Linked DNA regions of Oryctolagus cuniculus. The protein of the gene in region 2 interacts with the protein of the main gene of each other region in a pairwise test. Links are inferred from orthologs where the notes say so. Each region holds a gene or a part of one and is shown on either strand. Other genes may lie near its edges.

Region 1 (10,654 bases), on a different chromosome or scaffold from region 2:
CTCTTTCAAAAGATTAATAAGAAAGCAAATATCTGATGAGACTGAACAAGATAAATCAGAAAATAAAGTAGAATGAAGAAATATCTACAAAAGCAAATGTTTTTAAAACAATCTTAAAATTGTGAATGAACATGTAGCAATACATTTGAAATGCATGAGAAAATGAATTAATGTCTCGAGGAGAAATAAATGTTAAAATGGAAATAGGCTTTCAGCTAAAGATTGTGACATGGTAATAAAATGACTCGCTCAGCAAAGCCCTTTCAGGAGAAGGATGGGGAAACCAAGAATGGAAAAAACAGGTAGTGTAATCTCAGTGATTACAAAGTGTTATCAGAAGTTAAATACAGACTGAAGCAACAAGATACACTTCACCCCATCAGATGGGCTAAAATTAGAAAACAAAAACACCAAAGTCTAGCGCTCTTAGGGATTATTGCTTCTCAGGGATACCAGAGCCCATTCCTTTCCTCTGATCTAGGGCATTGCTTGGGAATTCTGCCCTCTCCCTTTGTCTTTTATTGAAAATTCAATTGGCACAGAGCTTCATCAGAAAGGACAATGGATGCATTGCTTGATGAAATTTCTTTTTTTTTTTAAATTGCTACTTTTTAAAAAAAATTTTACTTAAAGTTTACGAATTTCATGTATTACCTATATACAGATTCAGGAACACAGTGATACTTGTCCAACCTACCCTCCTTCCCGCACACACTCCCACCATTCTTCCTCCTCCCTCTCCTATTCCCATTCTTATTTTTTACAAAGATCTATTTTTCAGTTAATTTTATACTTATAAGATTAACCCTTCACTCAGTAAAGAGTTCACCGAATAGTATGAAGGAAAAGAACCACTGTTCCTCAACACTTGAGACAAGGGCTGTTAAAAATCAAAATGAGCGTCCTCTCTGACATGTTAAGCCCCCTTATGCCTCTCTGACTTGCTGCTCCTCTTCTCCCTAAGGTTATCACTATCCTGATTAATAACACCATGGAAAATACAAATGGAATCATAGTGCATACTTTTTGTCTTGTTTTGTTTTTGTTCACCGTTATATTTATGAGTTTCATCTATATGCTTATATATAGCAATAACCCTTCCATCTTCTTCGCATATGATATTCTATCAAATGTATGTTGCACAATTTATTTGTCCATTCTGCCATTTATGGACATTTGGTTTTTACTCCAGATTTTGTTACAAATAATGTGACATGATCATATATACAATTTATCTTTATTATTCATGTATTCTATATTTCTGATTCAACTACTCATTAAAGTTTATTTGTAATTTCAAAATCAACATTCCCACAACTTTCTCTGTCATTCAGGGACGTACACAGACTGGCAAACACTTTGCATCTCCCACAAGCTTGTTCCCAGTTCAGGCTGATCAAAGCAAAGCTGCCTTCTTTTTTCAGCTCTCATATTGTAAACAAGTATCCTTTTTGCCTTTCCATTTAGTGCCATGTTTTTCTTCTTTTTATGCTCTTTTTTTTTTTTTGGAGGGGAGGTCATTTTGTTGTTTACAAAGACCCCCAAGTGCAGGGCCAAAGTGCCATATAGTGTTCCTTACCATAGGGAGACTGTGAAGGTGCCTTATGAAGAAAACACATATTACAAAAGCTCCACAACATGCATGAGTTATATAATCCTGTTAGCAGTTAGCTCAGTGTTAATTAACCAGCAGTGTATATTAAATAGGGTATCTTTAAACAGAAGCACACATATATATTGATCAGTTGATTAAAAATTTATGATCAGAGACTCAATTTTGTGACAGGAATCTCACCTATATTTCCTCCAGGAGCAGTGATTTTTTTTAGAGCATTTCTATTGTGAATAATAAAAGTCAGCTTATATATGTATTTTATTTTATAAATACTTAGAAGTTGTATTCATGGGTCATATGATTGACCTATTGTTCCACATTAGTAGACAGATAAAGAGTTTTCAAAGATATTCCATTTATGCACACTCCCACTGGCAGTGTGTGAGAACTCTCATAATTCCATATCTTTTTCAACCCTTGATGTGGTAAGGTTTTTTGTCATCTTGTTGATTTGTAGTACATCACTCTGTGGTTTAATATGCTTTTTCCTGATGATTAATGATGTTTCAGCATCTTTTCATGAGTTGCTTATTGATCATTCAGATGCCCTCTTTTATGAAGTGCCTGTTTAATCTTTGCCCACTTTCAAAATTGGGTTTTCTGTCTTTTTCTAATTGACTTTAGCAGTCCTGTTAATGTCTGGAACCAGTCTTTTATTGGTTATATATATTACAAATAATTTCTCCCACTCTGCAGCTTACCGTTAATTCTGTTAATGATTTTTTTTTTTTTTGACAGGCAGAGTGGACAGTGAGAGAGAGAGACAGAGAGAAAGGTCTTCCTTTGCCGTTGGTTCACCCTCCAATGGCCACCGCGGTCGGTGCGCTGCGGCTGGCGCACCGCACTGATCCGATGGCAGGAGCCAGGTACTTCTCCTGGTCTCCCATGGGGTGCAGGGCCCAAGTACTTGGGCCATCCTCCACTGCACTCCCTGGCCACAGCAGAGGGCTGGCCTGGAAGAGGGGCAACCGGGACAGAATCCGGTGCCCTGACCGGGACTAGAACCCGGTGTGCCGGCGCCGCAGGCAGAGGATTAGCCTAGTGAGCCGCATAATGAAGTTAAATTTATCATTTGCCTATGTTTAGTATTTTCTGCTTGTTTTTACAGTCTGCTTACCACTGTCATAAAGATATTACTCTGTTATCTTCTACAATCCACCTGAAATTTCTATTTTTATCATGTGAGTTATTAATCATGATTTAGTGTATTTCTATAGTGATATATAGTTACCATAACAAAATATGTTCAAAAGGTTGTCTTTTCACACTTTATCTCTGATAATGCTTTGATGACATTGTATCATTCCTATCCTTTTACTTACTACTTGTTCATAAGCTTATAATTAATGCATGTCTCCTGTAAACTCTATATAATTAGATTTTGATCTTTTATTCTAATCTAAGATCTTTGTCTTTTAAATATATTATTTATCTACTTATATTTAATGTAATTCCTGATCTATTTGGGTTTACATCTTTCCACTATTTTTCACATCTGTTTCATGTTCAGTTCTTCCTCTTATTGTTTTCATTAAAGTAATAATAAAGTTGTACTAATTGTTAAAATTCTCTTCCATATTAGCTTGCCTCTTATATACTCTTTTACTTTTGTGTTTTATGATTACTATAAAGAGTTCAGTGTGAATCCTTGACTTTTCAGTCTAATATAAATGGACATTTTTACTATTTTCTGGACAATTCTAGGATCTGAAAATATTTTAGTTGCTGTTGCTTTCTCCTTCCCTTTGCACTGATTGTCATGTATTTTAATTTTACATGTATTTTAGACCATAAGTAGTCTGGGTGCTCGTGACTGTGGGAGGTTTGTGTGCCGGGACTGTGAAAACACTGAAGCTGTGTGGGAGGACTCAAGGTATGGCTGGACATTGGCCAGTCACTGTGGGAGGCTCTACACAATCAGGACTTCCTGGTTACCTGGCAAGGGACATTGTTGAGTAATCTGAGCTTACACTGAGGACTACCTAGATTCTTTGTGTGGTCCTTGTGGCACAGCAAACAAATAATATACTCACTGGGGCAGGCGCCCAGGCACTGGTCTCCTTCAAGGAGAGGAGCTCAGCTAAGTCTATGCCAACAGACAAGAATAAAACTCCCCTCTGATGAAAAATAAAAATTAAAAATTAAAAAGGAGATTTACCACACCAAATCTGAGTGTGTCACCTCAGACACCCTTCACCCTGGAGCACTGAGCAGAGCTCCCTGGCCACACCCACCACATGCTTCTAGGTATTCCTGAAAGCAGACACTCCACTGATCCATCTAGATATAATCCAGAGGTAAAGTCTCCACAGTGAACAAAGCAAAGAAGAAACCAACGAGTATCTCCACAAATGTGGGATAACAAATGCACCAGTTCAAGAAACAAGAATAAAGAAAACAACATGACACCCCCAAAAGAATGCACTTCAGTTCTAGACTGTGAAGATGATGAGATTGAAAAAATGCCACAAATGGAATCCAAAACATTGATCATAGGATTACTTAGAAGTAATCAGAAGCAAATGCACAACTAATGAATTCCATACATGACATGAAAGAAAATTTCTCCCATGAAATTGAGATCTTAAAGAGAAACCAAATGAGGCCGGCGCCGTGGCTCACTAGGCTAATCCTCCACCTTGCGGCGCACCGGGTTCTAGTCCCGGTCGGGGTGCCGGATTCTGTCCCGGTTGCCCCTCTTCCAGGCCAGCTCTCTGCTGTGGCCAGGGAGTGCAGTGGAAGATGGCCCAAGTGCTTGGGCCCTGCACCCCATGGGAGACCAGGATAAGCACCTGGCTCCTGGCTTTGGATCAGCACGGTGCGCTGGCTGCAGCGCCCCGGCTGCGGCGGCCATTGGAGGGTGAACCAACAGCAAAGGAAGACCTTTCTCTCTGTCTGTGTCTCTCACTGTCCACTCTGCCTGTAAAAAAAAAAAGAGAGAGAGAGAGAGAAACCAAATGAAATCTTGGAAATGAAAAATTCAATAGAACAAATAAAAAACAAAAAAACACAGTGGAAGCCTTAACAACAGAATCAGTGAAACAGAAGAAAGAATATCCAACTTAGACGACAAAGCACAGGAAATTATACAATAAGACCAAACACAAGAAAAAGAAATTAGAAAAATAAAAAACACTGTTGGGAATCTATAGGATACTATCAACAATCAACAAATGCTGGTGAGGATGTGGGGAGAAAGGTACACTAATCCACTGTTGGTGGGGATGTAAACTGGTAAAACCACTATGGAAGTCAGTTTGGAGATACCTCAGAAATCTGAATATAGACCTACCATAGGACCCAGCCATCCTACTACTGGGTATTTACCCAAGAAAAATAAAATAAGCAAATAAAAGAATTATCTGCACCACCATATTTATGCAGCTCAATTTACATAGCTAAGACATGGAATTCACCTAAATGCCCGTCAAGGGAAGACTGGATAAAGAAATTATGGGATATGTACTTTATGGAATACTACATAGAGGTAAAAAAAATGAAATCTGGTCATTTGCAACAAAATGGATGAATCTGGGAAACATCATACTTAGTGAAATAAGCCAGTCCCAAAGGGACAAATACCATATGATCTCCCTGATCTGTGATAACTAATAGAGCACCTAAAAACAAATCTGTAGAATGAAATTGACACTTTGAGAAGCAATGACTTGAACAGCCCTTGTCTTGACTGTTGAAGAACTTTTTTAAAAATGGAGAATGGGACTGGGAATGGGAGAGGGAGTAAGAGGTGGGGTGAGATTGGGGGTGGGAGGGCAGGTATGGTGGGAAGAATTACTATATTGCTAAGATTGTACTTATAAAATTTGTACTGATTAAATAAAAGGTTTCTTTGAAAAAAAAGTATCTATCATGAAATCAAATGGATGAATGAAAGATATACTTTTTTTAAATGCAAGATTTTTGAGTTTTCATGAAAAATGAAAAAATTTGTCTACCCCAAGTCCATGTGTCCTACAGATTTAATTGGACTGCACTTGTAACAGACTCCCTACAAGGAAATGTCCTTCCTACCAGCCAGAATCATTTCTTTCTGTTCTCTTTTGGCACCAAGGCTGAATATCTGTTGTGCATTTAATACCACCCCTGCTTGGCTCTCTTTATATGCATTGTATGCTGGGCACGCTAGCATTGGATTTTATGCTCCATGTTAATAGGTTCTAACAATGGAGTGGAAAACAAGATAGAAATAAGCCCTGACCTCAGAGAACAAACCAAAAATCATATAAATAATTAGGATTATGATAAGTAGTCTGAAGGAAAAGTACAAGATGTTAAAGAGAGAAATCATAAAATGTCTCTAATTGGAAGGGAGGGAAGGTTCCTGCAAGAAAAGTTTATTTAAGCTGAAATCTGAAGATACAGCAATTCAGCCGGATGTAGGTATGGGCATATATGGACTGCTGTTGTTTGATGGGAGAGAGATGGTCCAGGAAAATAAAATAGCACATGCATTTGTACTGAGCTGGGGAGAGTTAGGCAGATCTGAGGACCCAAAGAAAGTGCATAGGTTGGAACATCGATATGGACAGAGGCTATGTTGTATTTGGCCACTGGGTCTAGATGGTCTTGTAGAAGACCAAGTGGGCCGGCGCCGCGCCTCACTAGGCTAATCCTCTGCCTTGCAGCCCTGGCACACCGGGTTCTAGTCCCGGTCGGGGCGCCAGATTCTGTCCTGGTTGCCCCTCTTCCAGGCCTGCTGTCTGCTGTGGCCAGGGAGTGCAGTGGAGGATGGCCCAAGTGCTTGGGCCCTGCACCCCATGGGAGACCAGGAGAAGCACCTGGTTCCTGCCATCCGATCAGCGCGGTGTGCTGGCCACAGCACGCCGGCCGTGGCGGCCATTGGAGGGTGAACCAACAGCAAAGGAAGACCTTTCTCTCTGTCTGTGTCTCTCACTGTCCACTCTGCCTGTCAAAAAAAAAAAAAAAAAAAAAAAAAAAAAAGACCAAGTGGCTATGGAGGACCAACACTTATTGTGTGAGAACTTGATGGTATACAGATCTGGCACTCTGAATCTTCTGGCTGAAATAATTTGTTACAATATGAAATGAAATTAAGGATAACATGTCTAGCAGACTTCTATCTAGGTAAATAAGCTATTGACTTGGTCACCATTGATGAGTCACCATTGGGTTAATTTTTATGCTTTTGTTTCCTCCTCTGCCTTAGCTGCAAGTGTCCCCTGCTTGGAAGAGTGTGGGAAGCTGACTTGGAAGCTTGTCGACTGCTTATTCAGAGTCTGCAGCTACAGGAAGCCAAAGGCAGCCTGTGTGTGGAAGATGAGGGGCAGATGGGTGACTTAGAAGGAGCTGCCTGGGCAGTGGCTCCCAGTGTCCCTCCCAGTCCCCACTCTGAAGATGAGAGGACGACCCTTCTGCAAGCTGACCAAGAGTGGAAGGCTCATCATACCCCCTCCCCTCTATGCAGAGGAGGCGAACAAAAAGAGGTGTGTCCTGTCGGCGTGGCCTTCACAGGAAGGCCTGCTCTGGTGGGTGCTTTGGGACCATGCTGTACACAGAAGCAGCACATTTTGGGCAGGCTTATCATCAAACCACACAAACTTGGAAAAGTTTTTTTTTTTTTTTTTTTTTTTTGACAGGCAGAGTGGACAGTGAGAGAGAGAGACAGAGAGAAAGGTCTTCCTTTTGCCATTGGTTGACCCTCCAATGGCCGCCGCGGCCAGCGCACCGCGCTGATCCGAAGGCAGGAGCCAGGTGCTTCTCCTGGTCTCCCATGGGGTGCAGGGCCCAAGCACTTGGGCCATCCTCCACTGCCTTCCCGGGCCACAGCAGAGAGCTGGCCTGGAAGAGGGGCAGCCGGGACAGAATCCGTTGCCCCGACCGGGACTAGAACCCGGTGTGCCAGCGCTGCAAGGCAGAGGATTAGTCTAGTGAGCCACGGCGCCAGCAAACTTGGAAAAGTTTTAATAGCTATTGAATATGATTACAAAATTAAATAGAATTTTTATAGAAGAAATTTTAAACAGAGAAGGACAAGCAGGGAAAATGTTTAACATATTTAGTTTTATTTTTATACTAATATCATAGCTAGATTTAGAATATACAGGCTAATATAGAACTACTTTATATAGGCCACATTATACATGTCAAATATAACTTACAGTTATTATCAATATCCCATCCATGTCATATGTGACATTTAATTATATGTTTAGAATATATTATATTATTACTTTATGGAATTAAGCATTCAAGTATATGTCTACATACTACTAATTTTCTTTACCAAAATCAGATCATAATAAATGGTTGTAATGTGTTTTTTCATAAAAGAACAAGAACTAATATTTGGCCTGGGATATACGTACTACAAATGAAAATGTGGTTTTATTTGATTCTTTATGCTGGAGGCAGACTTGCATGAAGAGAGATGACCTCCCTGGCCTGCTGTCTCCTCCCCTGTCTTTCTCTTCCTCTCTGCTCCTATCCCTCCCCTCTGCCCTCTCTCCCTGTCTTCCCTCTCGAGTCTCCCTCTCTCTGTTCTTTCTCTCCTCTCTTTTTCTCTTGCTCCCCACCTCTCATTATAACAAAAGTCCTTTCAAGGAAAAAGAGCTCCAGGAACTTTGTCCTGATTTCACCGTATTCACTGTAGTCCTCAGGGCTCTTTGTGTGGCCAGGTTACCCGGTATTTTGAGCATGAAAAGGAAACAGAAGCCTGGAGGCTAGAAGAATGTGCTGCTTGGCTGTCTCATGGTTGATTTTAGACATTAAACCCTTCCCTGGGCCTTTGCCAGAACTCACCATGAATGGCTGGGGAGAGCATTCCTCTCCCCACCCCGCCCCATCACAGTTCACATCCTGTCTGCAGATCCGTGGTCTTTGCAGAGTGGCCAGTCATGTACTTTACTGGAACATGACATTTAGTCACAGCCTTCTGGACTGCTGAGAAATTTGACCCGCAGTCTTCTATGTGAATCGAATGAGCTTATGAGAACCCAGGCTGTTGTCAGTCTGGAATCGTTGCTGGCCAAATCACATTAGGTTCAATATGGAACTACAGATGATGGATCTAAGCTGCTTTGTTAATACAGCCACTGCAGGTGGAATCTTCCTGTTGACCTAAATAACACAGAGCAATTCTCCAAAGGTTAATATACTAAGTGAAAATTGTGAATATAATATAATTAGTGAAATATATTTAGTGAAAATAAAATATATATTTTACTGAAAATTGCAGTGGAAATATACAGAGCTTAGTAAACAATGTGCATTTCAAATAGGTTAAAATATGGGAAAGTTTTTAAGGGGAAAATGAGGAAGATGACTTAAATTGTTTTGAAACAATTATCCTTGGCTACAGGTGTAATAAAGGTGGTGTCAGTAGAAGCTTGCATAGGCAGACCAAGATCTACAGGGCAGACATCCTTGTAGAAGTATTTTCTGTGTGAAGTATTGGTGATTTTGTAATAGTTCTAGTTATTAGGCACACATGTGTGAGGTCTCCTCCTCTATAATCTCCTGGATTTATTTATATTTCTGTTAGGGATTGGTATTTTGAGACTGACCACTTTCTCACTCCCCAGCTTGGCCTCCAGTGGTTTAAGCAGAGATGTTGAAAATCTGCCGCCTGCTGCAAGTGGATGGGTCGAAAGCATCTATTCTGATGGAGCAAAGTGTCTCCTAAACATGGGGGTGAAAGCCCTGGAAGGAAGAAACTGCGGGCGACCAGGCTGAGCCTTTGAAGGCAGGGCTTCCAAAGTAGGCTCCCAGCAGGTGCTTCATGCAGGGTCCTGATGGAGGTCAGGATTGATTCCACCGAGCTGGTGTCTACCAGGAGTGCAGTCCCTCCCTGTAAGTGCCCATCCATGGAGAGTCCCAGCTGAGCCACCTGTAATGAAAGATTAACAAGGGAACAGATACACATTTATTTAACATTAAATTTTGGCTGGCACCACGGCTCTATAGGCTAATCCTCCGCCTGCGGCGCCAGCACACTGGGTTCGGGTTCTAGTCCCGGTCTGGGCACCGGATTCTGTCCCGGTTGCTCCTCTTCCAGGCCAGCTCTCTGCTGTGGCCCAGGAGTGCAGTGGAGGATAGCCTAAGTCCTTGGGTCCTGCACCCACATGGGAGACCAGGAGAAGCACCTGGCTCCTGGCTTCGGATCAGCGTGGTGCGCCGGCCACAGTGTGCTGACCGCATCGGCCATTGGGGGGTGAACCAACGGCAAAGGAAGACCTTTCTCTCTATCTCTCTCTCTCACTGTCCACTCTGCCTGCCAAAAAATATATAAATAAATAAATAAAAATAAATAAAAAATAAAAAATAACATTAAATTTTATGTGATATAGGAGTCTTCAGAAATGCAGTCTCAAAGAAAAAGGAAAATCTGTGTATTGTTATGCTTAGTGTCATGAACAAGTGGGCAGTTGTGGAGAACTGTGATTGAGCAAAAGGGGAATGGTTTAGTGGTCATAAAGTGGGGGGAACTTAGCAAGGGCTGTTGTGCAGATTCTTCTCTGTGTCCCTGTATCTTCACAGGTAAGGATGTTTCTTTCCTCTGAGTATAGGGAGGGCCTCTCTTATATCAGAGTCTTAGGAGCAGCTTCAGAGGAAGGCCACAGAACTCTTATGTGCCCTGCGAAGAAGGGCAGGAGGCAATCAGAGAGCTCCTCCTGCTTCTGCCATATCCACACATGCCAATGTGCCATATTTTGGATGGTTTGTCCTGAATACCATCACTCCTGCACCACGCTCTCCCTTCCTCACTGAGTTCCCTTGCCCACCAGGATCGGGGAGGGGGGGGGCGGGGATGACATTGCCAGGTACAGGGGGCTTTTCTTCATCCATCAGATTGTAAGTGCCTGCCGGTTCATTATCTGGTTATGGGAAAACAGGACTGTATTTGCCAAAAAAAGTAGGACATTAGGGAACAAGTATGCAAGAAGAATTAGAGATTTGCCTTATAATGACTTGAATCCCGTAAAAGTCCCATGGGCTGCCAACCATGTTCCATCCCTGAGCATCCTGGTTCCTCTCCACCAGTGGCCGAAGATGTCCCAT
Region 2 (10,754 bases):
CCAGTCATACAATATCCTGGAAAAGCGAAGAGCTGCCTGAGCCCTGCTCCAGTCCCTGCCAGATTCAGGGAGGGACCACCTGAGACATCAGGGGGCCTCGATCTGCAGGAGCAGGATGTCCTTTCACGCCAGTGAATTAATTACAGGAATGCTGCAAAGACCTTTCATAATCAAACACGCTCAAGAAAACTTCAAGAAACTGAACCCAACAGTATATAAAAATACATCATGTTTTTAAGAATTTTTTTTTTTAATTTTAGATTTTGTGAGGTCTACACTGTGGCATAGTGGTTAAGCCTCAGCCTGCGGTGCCAGCAACCCATGTGCGTGCTGGTTCAAGTCCTGGCTATTACACTTTCAATCCAGCTCCCTGTTAATGCGCCTGGGAAAGCAGTAGAAGATGGCACAAGTGCTTGGGCCTCTGCACCTGCATGGGAGACCCAGAAGAAGCTCTTGGCTCTGGATCAGCCCAGCTCTGATGTTGCAGCCATTTGGGGAGTGAACCAGCAGGTGGAAGACCTTTCTCTCTGTCTCTCCCTCTGTAACTCTCTCTCTCTCTCTCAAATAAATAAATTATTTTTTTAAAAAAGATAGCTGATGTTAAAAAAAGAAGAATTTCAGATTTTGTTTTTAGAAATAGTCAAGCTCTGGAAACAACCCACATGTTCAGCAATAAAGTGAAAGAAAACACAAAATGTGGTACATCCACAACAGAGAATACTAGCTAAAAATAAATAGAAATGAACAACTCATAACTGTGAGAAAAGGGATAAATCTCAAAATAACAATACTGAATGAAAATTAACTGGGCCAGGTTTAAAAAGAGAGGAAGGGCCGGCGCTGCGACTCAATAGGCTAATCCTCCACCTAGCGGCACACCGGGTTCTAGTCCCGGTCGGGGTGCCGGATTCTGTCCTGGTTGCCCCTCTTCCAGGCCAGCTCTCTGCTGTGGCCTGGGAGTGCAGTGGTGGCCCAAGTCCTTGGGCCCTGTACCCGCATGGGAGACCAGGAGAAGCACCTGGCTCCTGCCTTCAGATAGGCGAGGTACGCCGGCCGCAGCACGCCAGCCGTGGTGGCGGCCATTGGAGGGTGAACCAACGGCAAAAGGAAGACCTTTCTCTCTGTCTCTCTCTCTCTCACTATCCACTCACTCTGCCTGTCCAAAAAAAAAAAAAAAAAAAGAGCGAGAACATATAAGGTATAATTCTATTCACACAAAATCAAGGAGAATGAAAGCCAATCAGTGGCTGACTGACAGAGCAGCAGGGAGGGGAAGGAGAGAGAAATTACAAAGTGGGGGAAGGAATGTTTTAGAGGTCAAGTTCATTGTCTTGACTGTAGTGATGGCTGCATGGAATTCCACCCTTCACAGAAGTAGTTTATTTTTTGTCATTTGTACTTCAATAAAGCTACAAACAGGGAAGAAATGGGGGCGGGGGGGGGGGGGAGCCAGAGGACAAAAAATTAAAAATCAGTCACAGGATGGCATTTGGCACATCAGTTAAGACTCCTCCTTGGGATGCCCTCATCCCATACTGGAGTGCCTGAGCCCCAGCTCTGTTTCAGATTCTGGCTTCTGTTACTGCGGATAGATAACGTCAAGTGCGAGTGTTCCTGCCACCCATATGAGAGGCCTGGGTTAGTTTTATGCCCCTGCTTTGGCTAGGCCCATTTCAGCTGTTGTGGGCATTTGAGAAGGGAAACAGCAGAAGATCGGTCTCTTTTTCTGCTTTGAAATAAGCAAACAATAAATTTATCAATGAAAATAAACAAATCATTCTTGGAGGACCCATATTGAGTTTAGAGAGAGAAGGGGGAAAAGGTCAAGAAATACTTAAAACTAAAGAACACAATATTCTAGACCTAAGATAAAAGTTATGCCTACGTACAGAATCAGGGCCGTTTATACTGTCAAGGAAAACATAAAATTCAGAACGAAAAGCTGATCCACACCGAATAATGAAAGTAGATCTTCACAAAGAGCACATCCTTCCTTGTTTCTGCCCTGGTTCTGATGTTTCTTAGCTCAGGGCCTTTAGACTTGTTACTCAATCCTTCTGTGTTTCAGCTTTCTCATCAGTAATAACAGTAGTAAGTAAACCAGCAGTCAAAAGTGATTAGAACAGTGCCTTTAGAAAATCAATAGAAAGCAGTGGAAGATGATCCAAGTACTTGGGCCTCTTCTTCCTATGTGGGAGACCTGGATGAAACTCTTGGCTCCTGGCTTTGACCTGGCCCAGGCCCAGCCATTGTGGCTGTCTGGAGAGTGAACCAAAGGATGGGAGACCTCTCTCTTGAATAAATAAAATAAAATCAAGTAAATAAAATTAAACTTTAACCACTATATTCCTAAAGTTGTACTTATGAAATGTATGAGGGCCGGTGCCATGGTGCAACAGGTTAATCCTCTGCCTGCGGCACTGGCATCCCATATGGGCGTGGTTCTAGTCCTGGCTGCTCCTCTTCCAATCCAGCTCTCTGCTATGGCCTGGGAAAGCAGTAGAAGATGGCCCAAGTGCTTGGGCCCCTGCACCCATGTGGGAGACCTGGAAGAAGCACCTGGCTCCTGGCTTCGGATCAGCCCAGCTCCGGCCGTTGTGGCCATCTGGGGAGTGAACCAACAGAAGGAAGATCTCTCTCTCCGTCTTTCCCTCTCACTGCCTATAACTCTACCTCTCAAATAAATAAAAAAAAATCTTAAAAAAAAGAAATGCATGAAGTTTGTGTTCCTTAAATAAAAATTTCTTTGGGGAAAAAAGAAAATCAATACAGTCAAAAGTTGCCTAGCATGGTAAATGTAAGTGTTAGCCATCTGTAAGTTAAATGAATAAATCACTCGCACACTGAAATTGTTATGAACATTAACTAGTTTATTTAAAAAAAAAAAAAGCTAGGCGCCTGTGTTGTGGTACAACAGGCTAAACTACCTGCTGTGATACCAGGATCCCATAAGAGTGCCAGTTCTAGTCTTGGCTGCTCCATTTCTGATCCAGCTCCTTGCTAATACACCTAGGAAAGTAGCAGAAAATGCCCTAACTCCTTGGGCCTTGCACCCACAAGGGAGACACAGATGCAGTTCCAGGCTCTTGGCTTTGGCATGGCCTAACCCTGGTCACTGTGGCCATTTGGGGAGTGAACCAGTAGATGGAAGTTCTCTCCCTGTCTGTCCCTCTCTGTAACCCTTTCAAAGAAATCAATCTTTAAAAAAAAAAAAAAAAAAAAAGATAATTTTCATTACCTGAATTCTATTCCTAGCTATGAATGCTGATTCATGTGTATCAGGGTTGAATGGAGATGTTAAGCCCCACAATGAGTCAGAAAACTCACCTCTCAAACAATATTTTTTTTTTAAAGATTTATTTATTTGTCTGAAAGGCGAAGTCACAGAGAGGCAGAGGAAGAGAGAGAGAAAGAAAGAGAGAGAGAGAGAGATCAATCCATCTACCATCTGCTGGTTCACTCCCCAAATGGCCACAACAGCTGGAGCTGGACTGATCCAGAGCCAGGAGCTGCTTCTAGGTCTCCCACATGGGTGCAGGGGCCCAAGCACTTGGGCCACCTTCTAACGCTTTCCCAGGCCATAGCAGAAAGCTGGATGGGATGGCTGGAGCCGCGGCTCAATAGGCTAATCCTCTGCCTGCAGCGCCGGATTCAGTCCCAGTTGCTCCTCTTCCAGGCCAGCTCTTGCTATGGCCCAGGAGTGCAGTGGAGAATGGCCCTAGTCCTTGGGCCCCGCACCCACATGGGAGACCAGGAGAGGCACCTGGCTCCTGGCTTCGGATCAGCGCGGTGCGCCAGCTGCAGCGGCCGTTTGGGGGTGAACCAACGGAAAAGGAAGACCTTTCTCTCTCTCTCACTGTCCACTCTGCCTGTCAAAAAAAAAAAAAAAAAAAAAACTGGACAGGAAGTGGAGCAGCCAGGACTTGAACCGGCATCCCACTGGCACTGCAGGCAGCAGCTTTATCAGCTCCAGCACAGCTCCAGCCCTGTCAAACACTATTTTTTAAAAAAGTCAACTGAGAATCAAAAACAAAGGAAGCATTTAAGCCATGAACGATAATGCTCTGTAACAGTAACTTTGGGGCCAACGTAGTGGGTAAAAGCCACTGTCTGAATCGCAGGCATCCCATATAGGCACCAGTTTGTGTCCCAGCTGCTCCACTTCCAATCCAGCTCCCTGTTAATGTGCCTGGGAAAGCAGAGGAGGGTCCAAGTACCCGGGCCCCTCCATCCATATCGGAGACAGGGAAGAAGCTCAGGCTACTGGCCTAGCCTGGGGCCCTCATGGCCATCTGGGGAGTAAACTGGTGGATACAAGATCTCTCTCTCTCTCACTCTCACTCTCACTCTCCTCTCTGTAACTCTTTCAAATAAATAAAAACAAATCTTAAAAAAAAAAATAAAAGAAGCTCTCTGAAGAAAGGCATTTTAAAAATAAAAAAGGAAACCTTCCAACATAGACCCCAGAGGAATCTCCAAGAGAATAGAAAACGTCAAGTTAGGATGCGGAAAGCTGTAAAGTGGGGAAAAAAAAGGCAACACCTGGGGCTGATGCTGTAGCACAGTGGGTTAACACTCTGGCCTGAAGTGCCAGCATCCCAAATGGGTGCCAGTTCAAGACCCAGCTGCTCCACTTCCGATCCAGCTCTCTGCTATGGCCTGGGAAAGCAGTGGAAGATGGCCCAATTCCTTGGGCCCCTGCACCCACGTGAGAGACCCGGAGGAAGCTCCTGGCTCCTAGCTTCGGATAGGCGCAGCTCTGGCCGTTGCAGCCAACTGGTGAGTGAACCATCGGATGGAAGACCTCTCTCTCTCTCTCTGCCTCTGCTCTCTCTGTGTAACTCTGACTTTCAAATAAATAAATAAAATCTTAAAAAAAAAAAAAGCAACACCAAAGCAGAAAAAAAGCAAAAGACACAGAATCAAAGTACAAAATCTGAATCTGCAGTAACGATAACCACAATAACATCTGAGCTTGCAGACTTTACAACAAATCTGTGGAGTCAAAACACCAACAATTTTCAACTTTGGATGCCAACAATATAAAACGACATCTGACAAACCAGACTCCCACTGAAACGGAAGCGGAGAGAGAAAAACGGAGATGAAGCTCTGAAAAGCACCAAGTGATACCTTGTACTAGGGATGGCCTTAAAAAACAAAGGCACATTACTTAAAGTTATAAAGTAACTAAGGCCTCCATCACGGCTGATACTCAACAGCTGGGCGCAAAACTGACACATCAAGTATTTACACAGAAGCGAAACAGTTCTGAGCGGAGAAACGGGAGGGGAAGGTGTGGAACAAGGAACTAGTATTGTCTGTATTCGTTCAACCCCAGCGCAAGGAAAAGTGTAATGAAAGGTTGGTAGAAGTGGTAGAAGTCTTTAAGAAACATTCGCTTTAAGCAGAGCACCAGGAAGACCGCGAATGCCACCAAAACCAGGCTTTCGGATTCTCCCCGGATTGCAGCTAAAAAAAGTAAAAATCAGAGTTATCTTCCCGATGGGTGCCAGCGAAAGGGGACTGGGAGCGCCCCCAGGCCTTGCCCAGTTCGCAAGCTCTACCCACGCCTCCGTTCAGAGAGCGTGCAGGAAAAATCCTGCAAACTGAAAGCACCCCGACTCGGCTCGCACACGAGTCAGCCAGCGCACGCCGAGAAGAGGGGGGCACTCATCCACACTCCCACCTAGCCCTCGACTTTCCAACGTGCTTTAACCTGAAATCCCACCAAGAGCAACTAACCGGCCACACACACGCCGGGGAAGACCCTCGAGAGAGGGGCCAGGAAACAAACGAAACAAACAAAAAAAGCCCGCCCCCTGGGTCACTGCACCAGGCAGTTTGTTACAGGCAGGGTTAGCACCCGCGCCTCCCTAACAGGCGAACTCCGCACGGCCCGTCCCCAGCCTCCGGCCAGACCCAAACTGCGCGATCCCCGGAGGAAACAAAGCCGTGGGCGGGGCCTTCCGGTATCGGAAAGGGAAAAAAAAAAAAGCGGGCAGGGGAGGAGCGGCTCTCCCGCCAGTTCCGACCCCGAACGGCCCTTGCCCCGCCCCGGGCGCTCCTCGGGACCCCCAGACTCCGAGCGCCCGCGGTCAACCCCGCGTCCCACCACGGCCGCCCGCGGGGCTGCGACAGAGGAGTGCGGGCTCCCCGGGATCTGAAGACAGGCGGCGGGCCCGAGAGCCGCGGCCTAGGCTCTCCGGGGCCTCCCGGGCGCTAGCGTGACGGCCGCCGGGCGCTTCCTCACCTTCTCTTCCACGCAGTTGACAATGATGGACGGATACTTGCGGCTGAGCCAGCGGAAGAACGCCGGGACTCCCATAGCGGCAGCGCAGCGGCCGGGCCAGCGGACCAGCGTAACCGGAGAGACAGGCAGAGCGGCCGCCGCCGACACCGGCACTTCCTCCCACGTGCGCGCCAGCGACCGGAAGTGATGTCACGGCGTCACCGCCGAGGAAGCCGGGAAGGGGACTTCGCCGCTAGGTTGACGGAGCGGCCCGCGGGGTCCGGGTGGTCCCGGGCTGGGCTGCTTGTGGATGGAGGGGTGGGCGGCGCGCTTGCGCCAGGTGGTCTCAGGCCCGGAGTGAGTCCGAGTTGCGGGGACGTCGGCTGACTCCCTCCGTTTCTGCGGTGAACCGGACTGTCAGGAGGACTGTTTATAAGTGTTGTACTGTAATAAGGCTGGTTTGCATAAATAACTCACTCCACATAGTTGCAGGGTGGAGTTGAGGTGGCATTTAGCATCCAGTGCAGCCTTGAGGACTGTGAAAATACCTGCTGGTGGCACTCCTCTGCACTTCCTAGCCCCGACTGTGCTAGGGGATTATCTCGTTTAACTGTCACTTAAGCCTTCTGAAGGCACTGTCATTACACTCCTCTAACGTACTGCGCATGAGAAAGCCAAGTTGTAGGGTTAACTCACTTGCTGATTGACCCAGCTGGAATTTCGGTTCAAGCAAAGATCGATTAATCGTCTGTCTTTGCACTGACATACTTTTGATGGCTTCCGATGCGTTTATTTTGTCAGCAGGTGGAAGGGGAGGTCTGGAAGAGGAGCCATTTATGTCCATTTACTCAAGCCTGAGAAGGCTCTTGCCCTGGAATCCCCTCTTGGTCTGATAAATCACACTCAATCCTAAAGGCTCACCTCAAGAGGCCTCTAAGAAAGCAGGGTATTTCTCTGGGTTCCCCTGCACACTATTCATTGCCCCGCCCCGTCCCCTGTGCTCTGATGACACTGTGTTGGTGTGGGTATTCGAGTTATCCCATATTTTATGGGAGAATAGCCAGAACTATCCCAGAGGGTTCTATTTCTGGGGAGACTCCTCATTTTACCTAGAGACGGCCCCTCCTTTGACAAGTATCTGGCTCTGCTCCAAGCTGCTATGCATGTACAGGAAATGTACACACATCACAGGGAATGCAGGGATAGGCCGTGGTCAGGTTGAGTCATTCATTGAGAACCCTTGCCCAACGGTTGAGAACTTCGAGCTGTGAGGAATGGGAGGTGGCGCCTCCCAAACTAGAAGAGCAAAATTCAACTTATTGCCATCGTGCAATGAGAGAAGCAGGTGTTAAGTCCCTGAGACCAATGGTTTGTGAGCTCCAGCTAAAATCCCTTCCACAGTTTGGTTGGTAAGCCTATCCTTTGATTTTATGAGCCAATAATAATAATAGTAATTTTTACCATAAGCATGGTTAACTGATGTTCCTATCCCTTGGGAAGGAAAGAGTCCCAACAAACTAGTAGTAAAATTTGGGAAGTGCACAGTTAATTCATCTGGATAAGTTTGCAAAGAGGCATAAAAATTGGAGATTTGGGTGCTCAGAAGAGAGAAAGGTAGGAGAAACCCAAAAGATACGAACTAAATGTTGCGATGCCTTCATCAGCCTAATGTGTCAGGACTAATACTGGATGTGAGTTTTTCTCGGGGAAATGAAGAGAATAGATCTTGTGTTGGGATCACTATGGTCTAGCACAGGCTTGGGCAACATTGCAGAGTTCAAGAAGCCAACTAAGTGGGAATTTATGAGTGCCGGAATTTACAAGAGTGTTGAACCAGACTTTGGATTTCCACCAGCTGGGAGATCAGAGGTTTTTTAAACATTTTTGCCCAGACTGAAGGAGCCAGAAAAGCCCCCCACACACACACCAGTGGATTATATGGATATCAAGAATAGTGTGAAAAATATACAGTATTTAAAAGCCAGAATGTCTGTAAACCCAAGTTGATTTTAAGCCCCATTACCATTGTAATTACCATAGGAAAGAGTCTTTGTGTTTTTGTTTTCTGCCTACTGTTGGTCTCTGGATTATTTAGTTGTCGCTCCCCCTCTTTGCGGAGGAACGACACAGGACCCTGCGTTGTTCTTTCGTCTGCTCGGCCCTCCCCGGGTTTGCTGCTGGTTCTTCCCGGGTTGGCTGCCGTCCCTTCCACCTCCGTGGAAGGGCGGTTCCCCCTGGCCACTTTCCCCACTTCCGCAGGGGAGCGGCACACCGCCGGCCGGCTCTCTTGGGGGCTGCACAGGTGTTCCTTCAGATAGATGTTCCCCTTAGATGTTCCTGGTGCATGCCATCTCTCTCCTCTTTTATAGTCCTCCTCCGCCAATCCCAACTCGGCTGCCCACACGCCGAGTACGCTGCTCTCCTCCAATCAGGAGCAGGATCAGCTCCTGGAGGTCATCACTCAAGTTGGCAAGAGGCAGCTGCGTAGAAGCTGTTTTCTCCTCTCCCAGCGCCATATTGTGGGAGAGCAGATGCATAGAATAAGTCTTAATTCCAGTAACTTAGTCCAGTCCGGGTTGCTCCCCACATTTAGTGCTTCCTTTCCCTCTTTAGCCTTACAAAATTCATTATGAATAACCTGATGTACTTAAAATAGTAGTCATAGTAACTAATTACTGGCTTCCACTTGATGGGACTACAGGATGCTCAGATATTTAGACATTCTTCTGGGTGTTTGAGTGAGGACATTCTTGAGTGAGAGTGAAAAGTTTAATCAGTAATGCAGGTTGCTCTCCATAACTAACATACGCAGGTGTCATCCAGTCAGTTGAAGACATGTGTAGAACATGAAGACCTGTCCCCAGACAAGAGGGGATTCTCCAGCCAATTGTCCTCGTGTTTTATCAGCACTGTCTTCTCTCCTGAGTGGTCTTGAACCTGCTGACTCACACTGCAGATTTGAATTTCCAGGTCTCTATAACTGGGTGTGGCAAATCCTTATGATAACTGTCTCTCTGCAGGTAGAATTACGAAGGTACTTCAGAAAATTCATAGACAAATTTAATTTTAAGATAATAAAAATTTCCTTGAACATTTTGAATGCCCTTGGGATAGTATCTATGTTATTATATGTATATTGTATATATGTAATAGAATTCTGTTTCTCTAGAGAACCTTATTACAGTAGTTTTATTAACTTGCGAATTGTCATGTGCTTTTGCTATTTTATGTGGAAGAAGCCTCCAAACAATTTATTTCCAATTCTAAATCAGTTTTTCTTGAGCTAAATGGAGAGCTGTTCTTCAGAGTTTTGTTTTTAATCTAAATAAAACAAGTTTAGGACCTTTAGAAATCAATGCACTTTGTTGGTGAAAAGATGCTAATCAGGAAATGAGATTTGGGAAATTAAAAGACAGTAAGAGTATTGGTTCAAGAATAGGCAATAGGAAAATGAGGTCCCAAATAGACTTACATATGTATGAACACTTGAATAAGACACGTCGTACTGTAGAAAAGTGGGGAAGGGATACTTTAAAAAAAAAAAAAAAAACATACTGCTGTAATCATTCCTTAGCTAACTGGAAAACATGAATATTCTACCTAGAACTAAACCACACACACACGCACACATACACACACAACCCTCCTATTTGATTATAGTCCTAAATGTGAAAGGCAAAATTACAAAGCTTTCAGAGATAATATAGATGTGCCTGGGAAGGCAGCAGAAGATGACCCAGTAGCTGGGCCCCTGCCACCTATGTGGGAGATCTGGGTGGAGTTCCTGGCTCCTGGCTTTAGCTGTGGGGGTTGGGGTGTGGACCAGCAGATTTGACAACATACACCCACTCTCTGGCACTCTGCCTTTCAAATAAATAAATAAATAAATCTTTTTTAAAAAGATAAAATAGGAGCTGCCGCCGTGGCTCAATAGGCTAATCCTCAGCCTGCAGCACCAGCACCGGGTTCTAGTCCCAGTCCGGGCGCCGGATTCTGTCCCGGTTGCCCCTCTTCCAGGCCAGCTCTCTGCTGTGGCCTAGGAAGGCAGTGGAGGATGGCCCAGGTTCTTGGACCCTGCATCCCATGGGAGACCAGGAGAAGCACCTGGCTTCTGGCTTTGGATCAGCGCGGTGCGCCGGCCGCAGTGCGCCAGCCAAGGCAGCCATTGGAGGGTGAACCAATGGCAAAAGAAGACCTTTCTCTCTTTCTCTCTCTCTCACTGTCACTCTGCCTGTCAAAAATAATAATAATAATAAAGAAAACTAGAAGACAGGATTTGGGATGTTTTTCATCATAAAGAAATGTTTATGTTTGAAGAGATAAGTCTGTTTACCCTAATGAGACATTACACAGTATACATGTATGGAAACATAGTACCCCATAAATATATGCAAGTTTTGTATATCTAAAAAGTATGTTTCAAGAAGGGAAACAGCTCGAGGTGACCTAAAGTTAAAAGATACACTTCCTGGGCCCTGACTGTTGTGGCCATCTTGGGATTGAGCCAGTGGATGAAATATTT
Region 3 (10,654 bases), on a different chromosome or scaffold from region 2:
AAGGAGAAAAGAATGTAGCTCTAAATCAATGGTTTCCACTTTGAACATGCAAAGAATTCACTTGACAAGTCCAGGGATAAGAGATTACAGGAGAAACCTTTCGATATCGACTGTAGTGTGTTGGTTTACCAATCAGGCAAACAGCAGTTCAACTTTCAACCACTCAATATTTCAACCCTTTATGTAACAAAACTTATAAAATTCCTTTAGCTCTTCCTTTTTTTCTAAAGAAAAATGTCAAAAATACTGCTGAATATACTCCACACCGAACAAACCAATTTTGAAAATTCTTAGTACATATGTATTTTACAATATACTTACCATGAGTTTAGAAAAAATTGAATTCCCACCATTCTAAGCAACCAACCACAGCCCACGGTCTACATTCCCCAGCCAGAAGACTTCGAATCCATGCTGGAGCCAAAGCCACCGTTAAAACCACTGCCTGACCCTGCGTTGGATGCCGATCCCCAACCAATCGCTGCACCCGAGTTAGAGCCACTGTAGGAGTTATTGCCAGAGCCAAAGGCCTGGTTGGGCTCCCTCTGCATGTTGCCCTGACTCTGGTTATTGCCCGAAGGCCCCGACTGGCTCTGCTGACTGGCTAACATGCCCATCATCCCCCAGCTGCTCTGCAGTGCCGCCTGCGCCGCAGCCATCATGGCTGGATTAATGCTGAAAGCACCGAAGTTCATCCCCCCACCCATATTACTACCTTGATTGTTCCCCAAGCCGGCTCCACCCCCTCTACTGTTACCAAAGCCACCCTGATTCCCAAAGCCACCTGGATTACCACCAAATCTTCCACTTCTTTCTAACTGTCTATTGCTATTGTGCTTAGGTTCGGCATTGGATATATGGACGCTTATTCCTTTAATGATCAAGTCTTCTCCACAAAGAGACTGGGCAACCTGTAAGAAATAAGGGTGCAGACAAAGGAGATTAAGCCACGGAACACACACCTAATAAGCAGAAACAAAATCTAGATTGCACGCAGAATTTATCCACGCTGGAGAGAAATACGACGACGCTAGCTGTTCTGCAGCACAGCCTTTATTTAGCTGTAGTCACGGAGCGGGGGCATCTCACTCTGTTTCAAGACCATGTAATACTCTCCAACAGCACATACTGAAAGCTACCCACTGCTCGTCTCACACGTGTCTAAGCCCACACATCCCGCTGCCGTACAAGCCCAGAAAGCGTAGCTAAGGATGGCTGTCCACTGCGACGCATCACCAAGCAAAATACCTGATCATCTGCAAACGTGACGAAGGCGAAGGCTCGGAAGGGCTTGGGAATGAACACGTCCACCACCTCCCCGTACTGGCAGAAGAACTGCTGCAGCTCGTCAGCAGTCATGTCCTCCGTGCAGCGCCCCACAAACACCTTCCTGCTTCTCAAGGGCTCGTCGGGGCTTTGCTGGCCAAGGGAAAGGGGAGAGGTCAGACAGAGCTGGGGGGCGCGAGGAGAGCAGCAGAGTCTGTCTGGTTACAGCAGAGGGATCCTGCGAGGGAGCCACCAGCCCTTTCCCTCCAGCAAGACTTCAAGACCAGACTTCAGAGTTAGGAAAGCGACGGGACCTGGGAAAAGCCAGCGACAGGAATGGCCCTGACGGGACGACGCTCTGAACAAGGACTGCTCTGTCAGGCCTACATAACAAGGTGAACGTATGACACGCTGTACGTCTTCACGTTTCAACAGACACCCGTGCAGGAAACATTAACTCATGAATAACGCGAGCAAAGTTTCAGTTTGGAAGAGTTACAAGGCAAAAGCTGTAACACATCCTGCCACTGCCTTTCCCAAGCATATGCGGGCACTTAACAAAGTCAATGGAAAATGGAATTAAAATATCTTGGAGGGGCTGGCACTGTGGCGTGGCAGGTGCTGGCATCCCATAGGGGCACTGATTTGAGTCCCAGCTGCACCACTTCCGATCCAGCGTCCTTGGGCCCCTGTACCCACACGGGAGACCTGGAAGAAGCTCCCGGCTCCCCGGATTGGCACAGCTCCAACTGCTGTGGCCAAGTGGAGAGTGAATCAGCAGATGGAAGACCTCTCTCTCTGCCTCTCCTCCTCTCTCTGTATAATTCTGACTTGCAAGTAAATAAGTAAATCTTAAAAAAAAAATTCTGGAGCAAAAAATTTAAAAAAATTCAGTTGTTTTTCATAAATACGTACCTTTCATCAATTTTGTTAAAGACCCCCCTTGTACTTAATGTTTTATTTTACAGCACTTTCTAAGAAAGCCTGTCAGTAAAAATCCCCAACCCACAGAGGGAGAGCCAAGTACCTTAGAATTAGGAAGTTTGCAGTCGCACCATCGTCCATCTATCATGTGCCGCTGGGACATTACTTTCACCTGCGTCTCATACTCCGTGAAACGAACAAAGCCAAACCCTTTGGAATGGCCAGTTTTAATATCTTTCTTGACCTAGAAGAGACAATTTACTCCTAAAATATCCGCATGCACTCAAACTCGCAGTCCTAAATCAAAAGTTCCTGAAAACTGAACGGCTTCCATGAACGCAGTGGCTGAATTAGGATGTCGATGAAGCTAAGTACTGAGGAAAATAAAAGGCAGCAAGAGGGATCCAGATCATGTTAATGGACAGAGTAAAACTCAAGTGACACAACAGAATTTTAACAATGTTTTACAATAAGTGCCAGCTTTAAAAAAATTTTTTAATATATCTGAAGGGTAGAGCAAGAGAAAGAGAGAAAGAGAGAAAGAGAGAAAGAGAGAAAGAGAGAGAGAGAGAGAGAGAGACTCTATCTACTGGTTCACTCCCCAGATGGCCACAGCAGCTGGGGATGAGCCAGGCCCTCCTTCCAGGTCTCTCCCATGACCGCAGGGACCTAGGTGTTTGGGCCACCACCTGCCGCCTTCCCAGGCCTACTAAGATTGGAAGTGGAGCAGCCAGGACTGGAAACCACACTCCAACAGGGGATGCTGACATTCCAAGCAGCGGCTTAGCCCACTGTTCTGCTGTGCCACAACGCCAGTCGTCAGTGTTTACAAACTTAATCACATGGGAAAAGCAGAAAAATTTCCCGTTCCTTTAAACACTTAAAGGCCCCTGCACACACGTGGGAGACCCAGAAGTAGCTCCTGGCTTTGGATCAGCGCAGTTCCAGCCGCTACGGCCAATTGGAGAGTGAGCCAGCGGATGGAAGACCTCTCTCTCTCTCTCTCTCTCTCTCTCTCTCTGTGTGTGTGTGTGTGTGTGTGTAATTCTTTCAAGTAAAATAAATAAATCTTTTAAGGAAAAACTCAATGTCACCTACTCCCCTACGCCTTCAAGGCACAGGATTCTACAACATCGAAGGTCCCGTGTGGGCATGAATAAAGGGAACCATGTAAGCCAGGCGTCCTCTGCTAACTTTGTATGAGGACTTTAGAACACCCTCCAACAGGCTGGCGCTGTGGCATGGTGGGTAAAGCTGCCGCCTGCAGCGCCAGCATTCCATGTGGGCAACAGCTCGAGTTCCGGCTGCTCCACTTCCAACCCAGCTCTCTGCCATGGCCTGGGAAAGCAGCAAAGACGGTCCAAGTCCTCGGGCCTCTGCACTCACGTGGGAGACCTGGAGGAAGCTGCAGGCTCCTGGTTTCGGACTGGCCCAGCTCTGGCTGTTTCGGCCATTTGCAGAGTGAACCAGTGATGAAAGACACCTCTCTCTCTCTGCCTCTGAACTCCACCTTTCAAATAAATAAATCTTAAAAAAAAAAAAAAAATTTGCTGCTTTCTGCTTTAAAAATAATCATCCAAACACGAAAGACAGTGCCACTGAAGTAAGAGCCAGGGAGCTGCGTGTCCGCCGCTGAGCGAGTCCAGCTTACCTGCACCATGAGAACTTCTCCGAAGGTGCTGAAGTACTCCTTGAGGTCCTGCTCGGTCGTCTTCCAGGGGAGCCCCAGCACTATCAAGTCCGATGTTTTCTGCACGGCTCTCTTCACCTTCACTGCTGACGAAGCATCGGTCTCGTCCATTTTTCTCTTGTTATCTGAGCAAAATGAACAGAAATCTTCTTAAAAAAATCTTCATTTAGCACGTCCCTTTAAAACATACTGCCTCCCACCCCGAGAAATCAATCTGTGAAGACTGAAAACGCTTGGCCAAGAGTGACGTCAGCACTCAAGACAGAGGAGGCTCCGACAAGGGGCTGCGGCGCTTTCCCAATGGCTGAGATTCCTAACGCCGGCTTCGCAGTATCTCAAGATCACAATCTCATCTATAGCCTCCTTCTCAAAGGTTTACCCAGGGATGGCGCTGTGGCACAGGTTAATACTTCACAACAACCCACATGGGTACTGGTTCGAGTCCTGGCTGCTCCACTTCCGATTCAGCTCCCTCATTACGTGCCTGGGAAAACGGAAGATGGTCCAAGTCCTTGGGCCCCTCCATCTATGGGGGAGACCTGGAAGAGGCTCCTGGCTCCTGGCCTCAGCACAGCTCCGGCCATTGCTATCATTTGGGGAGTGAACCAGTGACTCTAAGACCTTTCTTTCTGCAACCTTACCTCTCAAATAAATAATTAAAATATCTCTCTCTCTTAAAAAAAAAAAAAAAAAAAAAAAAAAAAAAAAAAAAAAAAAAAAAGAAGAAGCTTTACCGAAACAAAAATAATCCTCCTCCAGTTTGACCTGGACTAGTCCTGGCCAGTGGGGCCTCTGGGGAGTCCGCCAGCAGAGGGGAGCCCATTCTGTCTCTCTCTGCTCTCAAATAAGTGAAACATGCTAGAGCACACGCCTCTGCCTGCCTCTCTGGATGCCTGCACTTCAGCTCCAGCTGTGGACGTTTCCTGTCTTTCCTGAGCCTTCAACAATAAACACAAACTGTGCCATTAAAAAACCAAACCAAACAAAAACCTCGGGTTATTTTTAAAAGCCAAACCTAATCTTAAGGTTATTTAGAAAGGAGATGAACTAAATGACATTCTTTATCTGAAAAGCAGAGAGCACGCAGGCGTGAAGGAGGGACTCGATCTCCGGTCTGCTGCGTCACTTCCCAAGCGCCCACACAGCTGGGGTGTGCCAGGCCAAAGCCAGGAGCAGGAAACTTAATCGGGTCTCCCCCATGGGTGGCAAGGACTCAGCCTGACCCTTTTTTTGGGAAAGATTTATTTGCGGGGCTGGCACTGTGGTGTAGCAGGTTAAGGCCACAGCCTGCGGCACCAGCATCCCTTATGGGAACCGGCTGGAGTTCCTGCTGCTCCTCTTCCAACCCAGCTCTCTGCTAACGTGCCTGGAGTGCAGCATGGGATGTCCTACGTGCCTGGGCTCCTGAACCACGCTGGAGACCAGTTACAAGTTCCTGGCTTTGGCCTGGCCCAGTCCTGATCAGTGTGGTCACCTGGGAGACTGAACCAGCAGATGGAAGAACTCTGTTTATCTCCCTCTCTCTCTGTTACTCTGCCTTTCAAATAAATTATCTTAAAAAATAAAAAAGATTTATTTATGGGCCCAGCATTGTGGTGCAGTGGGTTGAACTGCCACGTGAGACGCCTGGCATCCCACGTGGGCACTAACAGCCTGCTAATGTGCCTGGGAAAACAGCAGAAGGCCCAGGTACTGGGATCCCTGCCACTCGCTCCTGGCCCAACCCTGGCCACTGCAGCCACTCGGGGAGTGAAGCAGGGGATAGAAGCTCTCTCTGCTTTTCCAATAAATAAATCTTTAAAATACAATAACAAAAGGCCCCCTTCCATCCCTTGGTTCACTCCCTAAATGGCCCCATCAGCCAGGCATGGGCTAAAGCCAGGAACTCCATCTGGTTCTCCCACGTGAGTAGCAGAGGTCCAAGCACTTGGGTCATCTGTTGCTGCTTCTCCAGGGCATAAGCAGGGAGCCGGATCAGAAGTGGAGCAGTGAAGACTTGAACTGGTGCTTATATGGGACGGCAGCACCCACGGCACCACACTGTCAGGCCACAACCCAACGACCTGAATCATCACCTGCTGCCTCCCAGGACGTCCATGAGCAGGAAAATGGACGTGGACGCAGAGGCGGGTGCGACTCAAACCTAACCTAAGCACTCCAGTGTCGCATGCAGACACCCCAAGCGGCATCTTTTTTTTTTTTTTTTAAGATTTTATTTATTTGAGAGGTTACAGTTACAGAGAGAAGGAGAAATGAGAGAAAGGTCTTCCATCCACTGGCTCACTCCTCAGATAGCCGCAACGGCCAGTGCTGAGCTGATCTGAAGCCAGGAGCTTCCTCCTGGTCTCCCAAGTGGTGCAGAGCCCCAAGCACCTGGGCCATCCTCCACTGCCTTCCCAGGCCACAGCAGAGAGCGGATCAAACAGGAGCAGCTGGGAATTGAACCGGCGCCCATACAGGATGCCAGCACCACAGGGGGAGGCTTAGCCCCCTACGCCACGGCACTGGCCCCACCAAGCGGCATCGTTTTAAATGACTTATGAAAGGCAGAGCTACAGATAAAGGAGGAGAGACAGAAGGAGATCTCCCATTCGCTGGGTCACTCCCCAGACAGCTGCAACGCCCAAGGCTGGGCCAGGCAGACGCGAGGTGCTTCACCTGGATCCCCCGTACGGGCGCAGGGGCTCACGCGCTCAGGCCGGCCTCTGCTGCTTCCCCCAGTGCATCGGCAGGGTGCTGGCCCAGGGGGCACCGCGACAGGGCAACCAGCACCCCACCTAAGTGACACTGTAAACTGGGGCAGACGGCAATTTGTAGTCAACTGCTCAAGGAACAGCGTATTAAAGAAATTTGAGTTTCTACTTTTTTCTGGACACACATTAAAGTCAGCTATTTGCCTACTTGCCAACTGCAGTCGGCTGACTTGGGCAGCCCCAGCAGCAGGAGCTGGGTCAGCCAGCACACCCCCACGCTGCTCCTCTCATCCAGGACATCAGTGCTGAGAGGCAGCGAGTGCAGCCTCAGAACCCCCACGACTGCAGCTGGCACTGCCCTCACCCAAGGTCTGCTCTATGATTTAAGAACTCAGAAGAGCTGACTGAATGACCAGAAAGACCACCACCGGCCGGCGCCGTGGCTCACGTGGCTAATACTCCACATGCGGCACCAGCACCCCGGGTTCTAGTCCTGGTTGCTCCTCTTCCAGGCCAGCTCTCTGCTGTGGCCTGGGAGTGCAGTGGAGGATGGCCCAGGTCCTCGGGCCCTGCACCCCATGGGAAACCAGGAGGAAGCACCTGGCTCCTGATCGGCACAGCGCCGGCCATAGCGGCCATTTGGGGGGTGAACCAACGGAAGAAGACCTTTCTGTCTATAACTTTGTGAAATAAAAACAAACAAACAAACAAAAGAAAGACCACCATCAAAGCAAACTACCTGGTGCTATAGAAAAACCTATCTGCAAGGCAGGACACTATCTGCAAGACACACCTATTACCCACTCGGCCACGCGTGCGCAGATGACAGCTTACACACAGCTTTCTCACTTTCCCTAGTTTAGAGGGGTGGTCTCCCAAGTCAGCCTGACACTGAAGTTTAGGGCAATGCTAGGGTTAGAAACGTCCTGCCAAACAGCAGCCCCAGTCCACGCCGCAGCTCCACACAGAGTGGTAGGGCCCCACCTCTGGGGTAGGTGACTACGTAGACCAGGGTCCCCCAGCGGGGTGGGGTGGTAGGGCCCCACCTCTGGGGTAGCCGACAACACAGACCAGGGTCCCCCAGTGGGGTGGCAGGGACCCACCTCTGGGGTAGCCGACAACAGACCAGGGTCCCCCCGCGGGCTGGCAGGGTCCCACCTCTGGGGTAGCCCACAACACAGACCAGGGTCCCCCAGCGGGGTGGTAGGGCCCCACCTCTGGGGTAGTTGACTACGTAGACCAGGGTCCCCCAGCAGGGTGGGGTGGTAGGGCCCCACCTCTGGGGTAGGTGACTACGTAGACCAGGGTCCCCCAGCAGGGTGGAGTGGTAGGACCCCACCTCTGGGGTAGGTGACTACGTAGACCAGGGTCCCCCAGCAGGGTGGAGTGGTAGGACCCCACCTCTGGGGTAGGTGACTACGTAGACCAGGGTCCCCCAGCGGGGTGGCAGGGAACCACCTTTGGGGTAGGTGACTACGTAGACCAGGGTCCCCCAGCGGGGTGGGGTGGTAGGGCCCCACCTCTGGGGTAGCCCACAACACAGACCAGGGTCCCCCAGCGAGGTGGCAGGGACCCACCTTTGGGGTAGTTGACGACGTAGACCAGGTTCCCCCAGCCGGCGTCGGGGGCGTGCAGGATCCCCTCCACCAGCCGGACGCCCCGCATGCACTGCGACACCGGGTTCCGGTAGCGCAGCCCGCAGGCGCCGGGGAACTGGGCCGTCACGGTGGACAGCAGCACGGTGCCGTCGTCCTCGGACGGTATCTCGATGGGCTCGTCATTCTCGTCTTCCGTGACCCGGATGTACTCCGACATCTTCCCTTGTTGTTCTTCAAAAGGAAAAAGACACACGGGTGACCCGGGCTCGCGCGAGGCTGCTCACGCCCCTGTACCCACGTGCTAACACCGCCGCCGCTATTGTCCTGACTTCCAACAAGTAAACTGCTGTTCGCACTGTCCTGCGTGGGGGTCAGCCCTGGAGAACGGGGGAGGCCAGGGACACGTTCTAGAAAACGCGCCGCCCGGCCAGTCCGCTGCTTCCGACCGTCCCGAGTCCCCACGTGGCCCCGGGGGCAGCCCCCGCACACACGGTCACCCCCCAACTCTCGCACTGCAGTCCTGAGAAACCTACCGCTGGGGGCCGGGGCAGCCTACACCGGCGCGCGGGCCGGGGCACACGTCCCTACGGAAGCCTGGGCGCCCAGCAGGGCGAAGCCGCCAGCGAGCAAGGTCCTCGGCGGGGCTCCCGGAGCCGGGCCTCGGGCGAGCCGCCCCTCCCGGCAGCCAGCGCGTGACGGCCGAGGGCGGAGTTTGCGGCGCGGCCCTGGGTGGGGCCGCAGGGGCACAGGCCTGGGCTGGCCGCCGGCCCCCGCGGCGCACGTCCCGATCGCACTCGCGCTGCCCCGGCCCGGACAGACCAGGCCCAAACTCCGCCCGAGGCCCCGCGGGCCCCGCGTCCCTGTCCGGGCGCCGGCTGCCAGTCCGCGCCGGGCCCTAACGACGCTCCCGCGCGAGCCCGCTCGGGCAGGGCCCCACGGCTCCCTTCCTGCCCGAAGCTGCCGGGGCGCCCCGGGCATCCTCAGTGAGAAGCGTCCGCGACTCACCCGCTAGGCCGCTGCTAGGGAGCCCGACGGGGAGACGGAAGCAGCCCGGGGTCCGAGAGCAGCGCAGCTACCACCGCTTCGTTCCCACAAAATGGCGCTAGGGCCGCCTCCTCCTCCCCCCGCCGGCCGTCGTCCTCTCCACCGGCTCCCCGTCGAGAGGGGGAGGACGCCGCACGGACCCACACCCGCCCTTATCCTGGAGACTGGGTTCCTCCTGAGAGTATGAGCACGCGGAGAGGATTTGAACGCTACCGTGAACCAGCACTTGGGCTGGAAAGTTAAAGACTTGGGGGAAAAAAAGTGGGCGTGGAGGCCTTCCGCTCCCCCCACGCAACGTAGCAGATGGTTCCGTCCGACCAACCGTCGGCCCCGGGTCTCGGCCGGAGCTCGCGCACTTTGAAAGTGCGCGAGACGAGCGCGGTCCCGGAAGGGCGAGGCGGGGCGTGGGCGGCGGGGCGGGGCCTGTGGGCCGGGGCCGCGGAGTTCTCGTGCGTGGAGGGGGGCAGGTGCCGCTTCTAACTGTCCCGCACCCACCCCGCACACACACCTGGGAACAACCGCCTTGTCCTAAGCTCTCGTGTTCTCCGTGAGGCCCGGGCTCAGCGGTTGAGTGGGTCGGGACAAATGGGAGACCCGGCATTTGAACGCTGAGGCCCGAGCTAGCGTTCTAGCACGTTCCCCGCGTGTGGGCCCGGCCCCGCGCCCCAGCCAGACGCCCCTGTTGTTTCTCATGGCTGACGTGGCTGTGTGGGCCGCGGAGGAGGCAGCAGTCTTTTTTTTTTTTTTTTTTTTTTAATTTGAGACAGAGAGTGGTCCTCTGTTCGCTGGTTCATTCCCCAAGTGGCCGCAACGGCTGGAGCTGGGCGGGTCGGAAGCCGGGAGCCAGGAGCTTCCGCTGGGTCTCCCACGCGAGTGCAGGGCCCAGGCCCTTGGGCCATCTTCTACTGCTTTCCCAGGCCACAGCAGAGAGCTGGATCCGAAGAGGAGCAGCTGGGACTCGAACCAGCGCCCATGTGGATGCCGGCACTGCAGGTGGTGGCTTTACCCGCTACGCCACAGCGCCGACCCCAGTTTTATTTATTTTTTTCTGTCTGCTGGTTCACTCCCTAAATGGCCACAATGATCAGGGCTGAGCCAGACCAAAGCCAGAAGCCAGGAACTCCATCTGGGTCTCCCACATGGTGGTAGGGACCCTAGCGCTTGGCCCATCACCCACTGCCTTCCCGGACACAGCAGGGAGCTGGCTGGGAGGTGGAGCATCCGGGAATCCAGCCGGTGCATCGCAGGTGGGGCCCTAACCTGCTGCTCCCACAGCGCTGGCCCGGAGAAGCGGGTTTATTACCCCCACTTTGCAGAAGGAAAAACTGAGGCCCAGGGGCCGTGTGACCAAAGATGTCCCTGAGCCCAGACATAGCTGTCCCAGGTCTGCCCACTGCCTTCGAGTCAACACGGAGATGGAGGCCGGCGCCGCGGCTCAC

The links.
Region 1: the proteins of XRN2 (region 2) and DISC1 interact in binary tests that used the Homo sapiens proteins (3 or more experiments, as listed by UniProt). The link is inferred for Oryctolagus cuniculus from reciprocal best matches to the Homo sapiens genes XRN2 and DISC1.
Region 3: the proteins of XRN2 (region 2) and TARDBP interact in binary tests that used the Homo sapiens proteins (3 or more experiments, as listed by UniProt). The link is inferred for Oryctolagus cuniculus from reciprocal best matches to the Homo sapiens genes XRN2 and TARDBP.

The regions. Positions count from the first base shown.
Region 1 is NC_091444.1:51,495,144-51,505,797, forward strand, and holds part of DISC1 (disrupted in schizophrenia 1 protein), read left to right. Parts: intron 1-6,803; coding exon 6,804-7,080; intron 7,081-10,654. UniProt on the Homo sapiens protein: Involved in the regulation of multiple aspects of embryonic and adult neurogenesis. Required for neural progenitor proliferation in the ventrical/subventrical zone during embryonic brain development and in the adult dentate gyrus of the hippocampus.
Region 2 is NC_091442.1:45,838,629-45,849,382, reverse strand, and holds the start of XRN2 (5'-3' exoribonuclease 2), read right to left. Parts: upstream 6,440-10,754; 5' UTR 6,329-6,439; coding exon 6,254-6,328; intron 1-6,253. UniProt on the Homo sapiens protein: Possesses 5'->3' exoribonuclease activity. May promote the termination of transcription by RNA polymerase II.
Region 3 is NC_091438.1:157,255,223-157,265,876, forward strand, and holds the start of TARDBP (TAR DNA-binding protein 43), read right to left. Parts: upstream 9,565-10,654; 5' UTR 9,177-9,564; intron 8,842-9,176; exon of another isoform or gene 8,705-8,841; intron 8,403-8,704; 5' UTR 8,389-8,402; coding exon 8,151-8,388; intron 4,006-8,150; coding exon 3,842-4,005; intron 2,435-3,841; coding exon 2,294-2,434; intron 1,420-2,293; coding exon 1,249-1,419; intron 912-1,248; coding exon 381-911; 3' UTR 1-380. UniProt on the Homo sapiens protein: RNA-binding protein that is involved in various steps of RNA biogenesis and processing.